Linked DNA regions of Macaca mulatta. The protein of the gene in region 2 binds, or shares a complex with, the protein of the main gene of each other region. Links are inferred from orthologs where the notes say so. Each region holds a gene or a part of one and is shown on either strand. Other genes may lie near its edges.

Region 1 (5,793 bases), on a different chromosome or scaffold from region 2:
TCATGTTTCTTATTCAACTGGATCATCTTGAGATTGAACTATACTGTTCAGTACAGTATAGTAGCCACTACCATATGTGGCTATTCATATTTTTAATTTTATAATTTTATTTAAATTAGTTTTAAATTAAATTTAAATTTTAAAATCGTTCAAATTGACCAAGGGATTGAAAATAAAAATAAGTAGATAAAAATCAGTCATCAGTCACACTATCCACATTTTATATAAATGAACATGTGGCTACCACATTGGACAACACAGAATACAGAACATTTTTGTCATCACAGAGAGTTCTGTTGGACAGCACTGATCTAAGTACATTAGGGCTCTGTATTTTATACTCCTGCAATATCGTGTGCTGTGCTTACATAGCACTTATCAAACTAAATTATGGATTAATAATATCTGGCTTCTCCATTAAATCTTAGGCCTCATGAAGACAGAAACCATGTCTGTTTTGTTTACCGTTGTATGCTAGTGCCTAAGACAGTACATGACAAATAAATAAACACTAAATAAATATTTGTCAAATGACAAATGAATGAATGAAATTATCTTCTAATAGATATAAACATTCTATTTCTTGCAATTTTGGGTCCAGACTAGAACTATGATTAGTGGGTTTTTATGTAGGGGCAAATACTTTTTTCAAGTTTCAGACCACTTCATGCCCCTTTTTTTTGCTGAGCATTTTATTTCCTTTCCTGAAACCAAGAGGACAACAGTATTTAGCCACTGAAAATTGGGAAACCTCGTACTTTGGTAATACTAAAAGGTTGATGTTCAAAATATCCAAATGTGAAGCACATGATTAAAAAAATACTTTGTATTGTTCTACCTAGTCATGATCAATGTAAACATCTGGGTATCCATCATAACCAAAAAGATATACTTGCAATGAGTGAGAAATACTTCATTTATTTAGACTTATGATCATTACATTTTTGTTTTACATTTTAAGGTAGAAGAGAGGTTTAAAAGTGCAATTTTATTCTTTTATAAATTATGCAATAACATACTTTAAAAAGAATAAACTATAGAAAAGAATAATTAAAATAACTCTTAAATGCATAAAAGTAGAATCAAAATAATCAATTAAAATTGCAGCTATCATGGCTAGTGATGGATTATATGTAGTTTGTTATATCAGAGATATTGGTACTTGGAAATCTTAATAGAGCTTTGAAAAATTAGCAGCATGTATCGTTGCCCTACACTGTCTAGAGCAGAACTCTGACCATATCTATTTTCATTTTCATTGGGATTTAGCTTTAGTTAATACATCCACATCAGCTTTGTCTGCCTCTCCAAGACTTTTTTCATGGCTCTCTACCAAGATATTGTCTTCCTTTTTTCGGGGCCTCTGGGAACCAGCATCTCTGGGAGCTAGAGGAGCTCCAAGGGCAATAAAATTGTGCACATCCTGCAGCTTCTTACGCAGCCATTCTACTCTCTCCATCGAGTTCAGATGTTTTCCCAGGTTATGCATAAGCTGTATTTCACTCACAGATCTCTTCCTGGGAAGAAGAGAAACAGAGAGGGCCACTTCCCATTAGCTCCCCACTTCAAAATGATAAAGTCAACATTAAAAATCCAATTCCCAGGCAAAACAGTACTTACTTAACAGATTTCCCATCTGATTTTGTAAGAAAGCAAATTGCCAACATGACAATCATTACTTTAGCCATGTCTTTTGCAGGTATCATCTTCACTAAAAGGAAAGGCAAAATGGAGGTATTTTAAAATACTTTTAATATTCAAAACTATAGTACACAGAATGCAATACTAACTAATTGGGTTGGTTTTCATGAGAAGCTTTTGGAACCAACCTCTTTATTTTATGGATACACTAGTATACATTATATATACACATAATTTAACTTAGAAATTAGTTTTATGCTCCTAACTATCTTTTGGAGATTTCTTGTGCAAGTTTTAATATATAAATCTTAAGCCACAAGAGGAATGAAAGAGCTTATTTTTGAGAATGCCCCCCCGCACTGCATTTTATGTTGATTATGCCTAAATGCTTATAACTTGCTTGAAAATGGCTAATTTTCTTAATAGTGTAAATTGTTAACACTGTTTATTTACTTAGCAAATCCCTTTCTTAAGTAAACTTCATTTCAGGCATTGTAATAATAACCATAAACACCAAACAAATAGGTGCTAATTTAGAGATTTTCACTAAATTAATGCACATTTCTCCTAGCATTAAAAATAATGTGTCAAAACATTTAAAAATCATCTGATTGATTACTTGTGATATGGATTTTGAGCTTTATCTCTAAATGGAATGCTTGTATTTTATTTATTCAACCTATTTTATTAACAATTATCTTTTAATATAACGTTTGTCTCTTTCTTCGTTTCACATCGATGTAGGATATTCTTGCCTTAATCAGCATTTCAGTACTTGCAAAGGCTGTTATTATAGAAGTGCTTTTCCTTAATGCTCAGTGTACTACATTTTAACATACACATAGAGTAGTTATGTTTTACAGGGAAACTCATCATTTAGAAGTAGCATAGGAAATATAATCTGCTACATTTTTGTTTACTCTACAATATAAAGCTATTGATGGAGCAACATGAAAATGTTCTTTTTCTGTTTATGTTAGAAACAAGCACTGTAGCTGGAGGACAGGAGCACTGGAGTCTAATCTTACTTTGTCATATTCATCTAGTGACCTCAGATATCTCTGCTTTGCTTCCTTGTCTTCACAGGAATATGGGCTTCTTATAAGAATATCATGAAAAAAAGCTGAAAAATTGTTGCAAAACACCCTTAAATTCATGTAATACAATTTCATGAAATTAAGGAGATACAGTTTTCAGAATAGAACTGTCATTTATGTGAAAGGAATAAATATTCACTAGTCAAACTGTGCTTGTCCAACTTTAGTATACAGATTGGGCTCTTTATGAGCCATAAAATAAATAATCTAAATAAGAATACTCTGCAGGAAAAATAGAATATTAACTCCACTTAATACATTTATAGTGATTATTTAAACCAGAACTATTCATTCACCATCAGCCTGTTTTATTTCAAAATTTTGATACCAATACTATTATATTAAAGCATAGCATGCCAAATTTTAATGATTTTTTGCTATAATTTCAGATGAGTTTTTAAAAAGCAAGGTATCTCAGAAGACTTTAATCACAATGTATTTTGTGATTTGAGAGTATTTTAATGGTATTAATTTATTTTGTATGTGACATTTTATATTAAACATAACACTCTTAGCATTTTACCTTGAAGAAATAACATGGTATTTGTAGAAATGGTACACATTAAATAATAACTTGATTATCAAAAATCTCATGAGATTCAGAAGTGAATTTTTAAGATTACTTACCATGCAATGTCTTAGAACAAAATCTTCTTTCAGGTATATTAGGAGCTGATGTTGAGTAAACTAAAGACAACTGATGAATTGGACTGCAGACCCTTAAATGTGACTTTTATATATAGATCTTCTGCTTGCCAAGAGAGGCTCTTTTATTGTTACAGATGATGTCACTCCCAATTCTCTGGATCTCACCTATAGGTTCAAAGCAGCACATACACACACCCACAGGGCGGTGCACACTCTTCTTAAGTTTTGGTTAGTTGGATACTAAAAGGAAAACAGCATTTGGCTTGAAAAGGGGCTTATGCAAAGACTTTTAACAAATACAGAATTATGCCACCTAGAAAAATTCTACCTGGATTAATGAATCTGAATTTAAACTGTGAAAAGACTGATTTCAAAGATATATGATAAAGTCATTATCTTACTTGAAAATAAAATCCAAAAATAAGTATATTTGTTATAACCATACTGTTGGTACAATTTTATGATAATAAATCATAGATGTTATGCTTATTTTACAAGCCATTTTCAACCAATCCATGTCACTTCTGGTCATCTTTCAAAAAGATGTAGCCCTTTTCTTAAAGGAATTGTTAAAAATAATTGGAGAAAATTCTCTTGGTACATAATTACTTTAAAAGCTTCAAAAGTGAAATTATTTTAAAATTTATTTAAGTTATATTTTATTTGTGCATCTTAATCTGTAATAACAACATTTGATAAGCACTAACTGCATGCCTAATTACATACATTATCCCACTAGATCTTCACAGCAGTCCTTTAAAGTTAGTACTTAAAGTACTAAAGTAGGTACTTATCCCCATTTTTACATGAGGAAACTTAGGCTTGGAAAGCAGAAAAGATGGAATTCAACAAAGGTCTTTATGACACCCGATTCTTACTACCTCAGTTTCTGCCTAAAAATATAGCCCTTCTTTGAACTCCAGTCTTGACTTTAATTTGCAAAGTCATCTGAAATCACAGCAAAAACTCATTGCAGCATTTTCCCCCAGGAGTTAAGTCTTTATTCTCATGTTCCCTAAGGGATGATGAGAGCCTGCTCCAAAACCTAATGGGGCATGATGCTGCTACATGTCTGACTTCAAATATTGCTCCAGCAATAATTGCCTGGTCCACCTATCAAAACACGTTGAATGTCTTTGATATATCTAGGACTCCTTTAGACAGCTTTGCTTTCCCACCAAAGATCCGGTTACAGAGTGGGATCTGCTCTCTCAGCTCTGGTCCCATTCTGGCTTCATGTCATCCTTTTCCTACTAGCCATTGTCAAGGTTTGACTCTACCTTAGGTAAGAGCCGGTACAAATTTGAATAGTAACCATATGGAGTTTATAATGAGAGATATATACTAGTCCTTCCCTAGGAAATTCTCTGCTCTGGGTAAACCTCACTTAGAGTGTTGCTCCAGGCTCCATTTTAGAAGTAGTAGAGACAAATGGGAACATATATTGAGGATATCAATCAGTTTGGTGAAAATGTTGAAAACTATAACATGAGAAGTAGTTGAATGAAATTAGAAAAGTCTGAGGAAAGAAAGATGGGATGACTTTATAGCTGTGTTTAGTTATAGGGTTACCATAAGGAAGGAGTATTCTCTGTGGTTTAAGAAGGAAGGGCTGGGTTCATAGGGCTTAAACTGGACATTATAATTGTCAAAATAAGGAATCAAGTACCTTCTCAAATAATGATTTCTCCATCACTGAGAATATTCAAGTAGAAGGTAGATAAGCATTTATCAGGTGTCCTATGGAGATTCATACATAGATGAAGGTTGAACTAGATAACCAAGAGGTCTCTTTTAACTGTAAAAATCTGTTGTCTTGATCTTTTTAAAGACCTCTTCTGATGTAAACTCTACATGTGATGTTTGTGTATCATTTTTCTGTTATACTCTGTTGAGAAGAAGAATTGGAAATACAAATGGTTTTTCTTTTTTCTTTGAGATGGGGTCTTACTCTATCTCTCAGACTGGAGTGGTGCAGTGGCATGGACATGGCAGCCTCAACTTTCTGGGCTCAAGCAATCCTTCCACCTCAGCCTCCTGAGTAATTGGGGCTATAGGCACACAGCACCGCAACCAGCTAATTTTTAAATTTTTTCTAGAGGCAGGGTCTAGCTAAATTGCCCAGGCTGTCCTTGGCTCAAGCAGTCCTCCCACCTCTCACTCCCAAAGTGCTGGGATTACAGGCATGAGCCACCATACCCAACCACAAATGGATTTTTATTTTCTAACTTTTAAGTTCGGAGGTACATGTACAGGCCTGTTATATAGGTAAACTCATGTTGTGTAGGTTTGTTATACTAATTATATCATGACCCAGGTATTAAGCTTAGTGCCCATTAGTTATTTTTCCTGATCCTCCCCCTCCTTCCACTCTCCATCCTTCAGTAAGCCCCAGTGTCTGTGGTTC
Region 2 (4,239 bases):
GAGGGGAGAAAGGCCTTCAGGTTTTCAGATTCCCAGGTCTACTTGCATCCAAGACTCAAGTGCTTGGGCACTTTACAGATCCCCTTTGAGCCTGAAACTGCCCAACTGTTAACAACAGATCAGGAAACTGAGGCCATGAGGAGGAAGGGGTCTGGCTCAGGGCTCCACACGTCAGAGCAGAACAGGCCTCAGCCTCCTGCTTCCCTGGCCAGGGAGGACGGGGCCTGTGGGCAGAGCAGGGCAGTGCATGTGGACTCAGGGGAAGGAGAGGCTCTGGCGGTCGAGAGCCAGGGCAACAGGGAGGCTTGACAGAGCACAGGGGAGCTCTCCCTCCTTTGGGCACAACTGCCCACTGACTCCCGCTGGTGTGGTCACAGAATGGCCTACGTGTCCCGAGATACCCCTTGGAGCAGTGCACTTCAGAGCAGCTGGGGCAGGAGCACCGTAAGTGCTGTTTGTCATAGTTTCACTATGTCCTCTGGCCAGTCCATTCTGCTTTTTGGTCCCGTTTCCCCCACCTGGAGGCCAGGTATCACCGAGCTCCCTGCCTCCCCGTCTAACTTGCGAAACAAAAAGTACTTTGGAAACTCTAATGAGTGGTACCCTCCCCAGGACCCTGGAAGACCCAGGGAGGGGGGCCCTAGGAACGTGCCCAATGGCTGAGGGTGGTTGGGGCCAGCTGCCTCACATGCAGGGCGCTGGGGGCTACAGCTGGAATGTGCTGAGTGGCAGCTGCCACGTGAATCATTATACCTCATCAGGCTGAGCCTAGGACTTCCAGACACAAACCAGCTCAGACTGGGCTCAGGCAGAAGGGCAGCCTCCAGCCGGGTCACAGGGCTGGGGATGAGGCTTCTGGGATCTTGCAGGGTCTCTGTCTCCCTGTCTGCCCACATCTTCATCCTGAGCAACCAGCCCTGGTTCTGAACACAGCTCGTTCTACAGACCCACAGAGAGGTCATCCTGTCCACAGCCCCCTGCCTTTGGGACCTGTGACGGCTTAAGCAGACCCTGGGCCTGGAAGGGCCTGGGAGGCAGATAGAGAGGGCTTCCTGGCTGACTCCTCACCAGGAGCCCACATTCCAGTGGGCAAGGAGTCAGATATGGGGTGACTGTGGGGCTGTAGGGGTCAGGACACGGGCAGGAGTGGAATGACGCCCCCACCCCAATCTCTTCCGTCTAGGAGCCACTGGGTACCCAGTGCTGGCAGATCAGGCTTTCTTGGGCCTCAGTTGTCCTGCCCGTGACACAGGCAAGAACCACCTCCAGCCCCCCTCTGATTTCTCTGGGTGCCTTAAACTTGAGTGAAGTCACTAGTAGGGGCTGTGTTCATACCTCATGGCGGCCTGATATTCCTGAGATGTGGAAAGGACCAGAGGGTCAGACAGGGACACAGAGACTAAGAGAGAGGCGTGGCAGGGCAAGGGGAGGACTACTGAGGCACACACACATGTCTGGCAGCCTGAGTGGGCCCGGTTACCTGGCAGGCAGACCCATGGGTGCTGAGATGAGGGCCCAACCCAGGGCATCTGAACACTGGCATGCTTGGATCTGTCTCTGTTGCCTCCTACTCCTGACTAGGGGTCTGGGACAAAGTCCTGGGCCAGTGTAGGGCTTGGTAAAAAATAATTAATTTTTCTTTTCAAGTGGAAGCTCTGACTCAGGCCTTTTCCTGTCCTCAGCAGCGCTATCCTTGCTTAGGCCTGAGCCACAGAAGCTGCTCAGGGACTATCCATGGCCTCCCCGTGGCCAACTTGAGTCTGCTCTGCAGTTGTAGGCCCGACTTGGAAGGCCCGTGGGCTCCAGGTGAGTGGGGGCCAGGGGAGCCTGGGGGCCTGAGCACAGCTGGGAGGTCCAAGTCTGTGGTTTCCCCGGGGGTGAGTATGTAAGTACCTGGGCCGGCCGTGCTGTGGGGTAGACAAGACATGCCTGCATGGAGACACATCTGTGGACCTGGTGTTATGACAGCAGGGGGCTTGTAACCATGAGGCCAGCAGGGACAGAAAGCCCATACCTCTAGCTCTTTGGGAGTGCTCCCTGGCTGGGACAGAGCCTGCTGGCCCCACGTGCCCCCATCGTCCCTCCCTTCATCTTCCTGAGAAGCAAGAAAGCCGGGCAGCCGTGCTTCTGCTGCAAGGGGAGGGGGCTGCCCAGCCAGCTGCCATGGGAGCCTCCAGCGACTCCGCCGGGTGTCAGGGGGTGTTTATGAGCAGCCGAAATGGCTGTAAAAGTGGCACCTCGCTTCACTTATGGCCTGGCCATCCCCTCCCCTACTGGCCTCTTGCCTCAAAAAGCTTCCAGAGGGGCCTGGAAGCTGAGAGAGGTCTGGGTGGAGGCACAGCTTGGGGTCAGAGTTCAGCCAGGGGCTAGAAATCAGATTGGGATAAGAACTCAGCCTGAGGCTGGGGCTCATCATGGAGATAGAGCTTAGTCTGGGATCAGGGCTAAGCTTGGATGCAGGCTGACTTTGGGGCTAGTGTTGGGATGAAGCAGTGGGGGAATATAAGGACTCAGAAATAGATAGATGTGAGCCATTAGTCCCAGAGAATCCCTGGTCCGGGCAAGGGCAAGGGGTTTTCTGAGGGAGGGAACCAGGCTGCATTGTTCAGAGAGCTGAGCCTCTGCCTTGCTTGTTGGTGTCTGATGCCCACCCTGGCCCCAGGGTCTGTGTACCTTGGCCAGAGCCCTAGTCACAGTGGGATGGCTGCAGCAGAGGCCTGTCAGCCTGGGGCTGCCACACCAGCAGGGGTGGGGCCAGAGTCCGGCCCCTACTGCAGTTCTGAGATCCAGTGACCACCCTGGCTCCTCCTCCTAGGCCCCAGCCTGGGGATTAGAGACAGGGACTCACTCCTACTCCCCACCTCCAGCCAGGCCTTGTCAAACGCCAGTGAAACTAACACTGACCTGACACTAACCAGAAACTGACTAACCAGGCCCCTGGGGCCTGCTTGTCAAAAAGGGCAAGCTGACTCTGCCAGGTGCTTGGGTGCTACCAGTTAATGTGTGACACCCCCACCCTCATGGTGGCACTTTAACCAGAGGCCTGAGGGTGAGAGAGAGGATCTGTGGCCCCACCCACAGCTGTGGAATGTCCAGCAGGGGACTATGGGGTGAGGCACATGAGTTATGGCAAGGGGAATGCCCTTAAGGGGCCCAGCACCCATCAAAGATTCCTCTCTGCAGCCCTCTCCACAGCCCACTCTGGTCCTCCCAAGTACAAACAGTAAGTTTCCAAATCTCAAGTTTTCCCTGGTGTCAGATCTGAAAAGATCTCCTCCCTCAGCCTCTAGTTTTATCTCTCAGTCCTTCCAATCCCTCCATTAATGTTCTTTTCTCATCACCAAGGGGGAAAGCAGGGTGGGAGATCAGTGGTCACAGAACCATAAAACTGAGAGACACAGAAACAGGCATAGGCCAGGTGTGGTGGTTCATGCCTGTAATCCCAGCACTTTGGGAGGCCGAGGCAGGAGGATTGCTTGAGACCAAGAGTTGGAGACCAGCCTAGGCAACAAAGTGAGACCTCGTCTCTACAAAAAAAAAAAAAAAAATTTAATTACCCAGGTGTGGTGGCTCATGCCTGTGGTCCCAGCTACATGAGAGGCTGAGGTGGGAGGATTGCTTGAGCCCAGGAGGTCCAGGCTGCTATGAGCCGTGACCGTGCCACTGTATTCCAGCCTAGGTGACAGGGCAAGATCCTGTCTGGAAAAAAAAAAAATGCTGGGTGTGGTGGCTCACGCCTGTAATCTCAACACTTTGGGAGGCCGAGGCAGGTAGATCACTTGAGGCCAGGAGTTTGAAACCAGCCTGGCCAACATGTAGAAACCCCATCTCCAGTAAAAATGCAAAAATTAGCCAGGCGTGGCGGTGCACAACTGTAATGCCAGCTACTCGGGAGGCTGAGGCCAAATAATTGCTTGAACCTGGGAGGTGGAGGTTGCAGTCAGCCAAGATCACACCACTGCACTCCAGCCTGGGCAACAGCTCTGTCTCAAAAAAGAAAAGAAACAGAGGCATAATAAAGCTGAGACCATTAAAATATAACACCGAAGAACCACAAGTGTTCTTTAGGTGCCCATTCTGGCACCTGGGCCTCTGTCCCAAGGAGCCTACATACCATAGGAGGCAGCCCTGAAATCACAACCTCCCTCCCCAGTAATGGAGGATGTGGGCACACAAGGAGGGAGGGAAGTGTCCTTTACACCAGGCAGAGGAGTATGATCCTGGCAGAGGAAGCAGCAA

What was found. The genes of interacting proteins can lie anywhere in the genome.
Region 1: the proteins of PTH1R (region 2) and PTH are in contact, whole or in part, in a cryo-EM structure (PDB 9JR3), measured with the Homo sapiens proteins. The link is inferred for Macaca mulatta from reciprocal best matches to the Homo sapiens genes PTH1R and PTH. Residues at the interface, in NP_000307.1 of Homo sapiens: Val31, Met32, Thr33, Lys34, Glu35, Gln37, Ile38, Leu41, Glu111, Trp112, Asp113, His114, Ile115, Ile135, Tyr136, Asp137, Phe138, Arg146, Arg162, Thr163, Ala165, Tyr167, Val171, Leu174, Thr175, Glu177, Glu180, Arg181, Phe184, Leu187; in NP_000306.1 of Homo sapiens: Ser32, Val33, Ser34, Glu35, Ile36, Gln37, Leu38, Met39, His40, Asn41, Leu42, Gly43, Lys44, His45, Leu46, Asn47, Glu50, Arg51, Val52, Glu53, Trp54, Leu55, Arg56, Lys58, Leu59, Asp61, Val62, His63, Asn64, Phe65.

What each region holds. Positions count from the first base shown.
Region 1 is NC_133419.1:51,927,285-51,933,077, reverse strand, and holds PTH (parathyroid hormone), read right to left. Parts: upstream 3,453-5,793; 5' UTR 3,366-3,452; intron 1,712-3,365; 5' UTR 1,707-1,711; coding exon 1,621-1,706; intron 1,518-1,620; coding exon 1,256-1,517; 3' UTR 899-1,255; downstream 1-898. UniProt on the Homo sapiens protein: Parathyroid hormone elevates calcium level by dissolving the salts in bone and preventing their renal excretion. Acts by binding to its receptor, PTH1R, activating G protein-coupled receptor signaling.
Region 2 is NC_133407.1:110,216,328-110,220,566, forward strand, and holds the start of PTH1R (parathyroid hormone/parathyroid hormone-related peptide receptor), read left to right. Parts: upstream 1-1,439; 5' UTR 1,440-1,806; intron 1,807-3,069; exon of another isoform or gene 3,070-3,223; intron 3,224-4,239.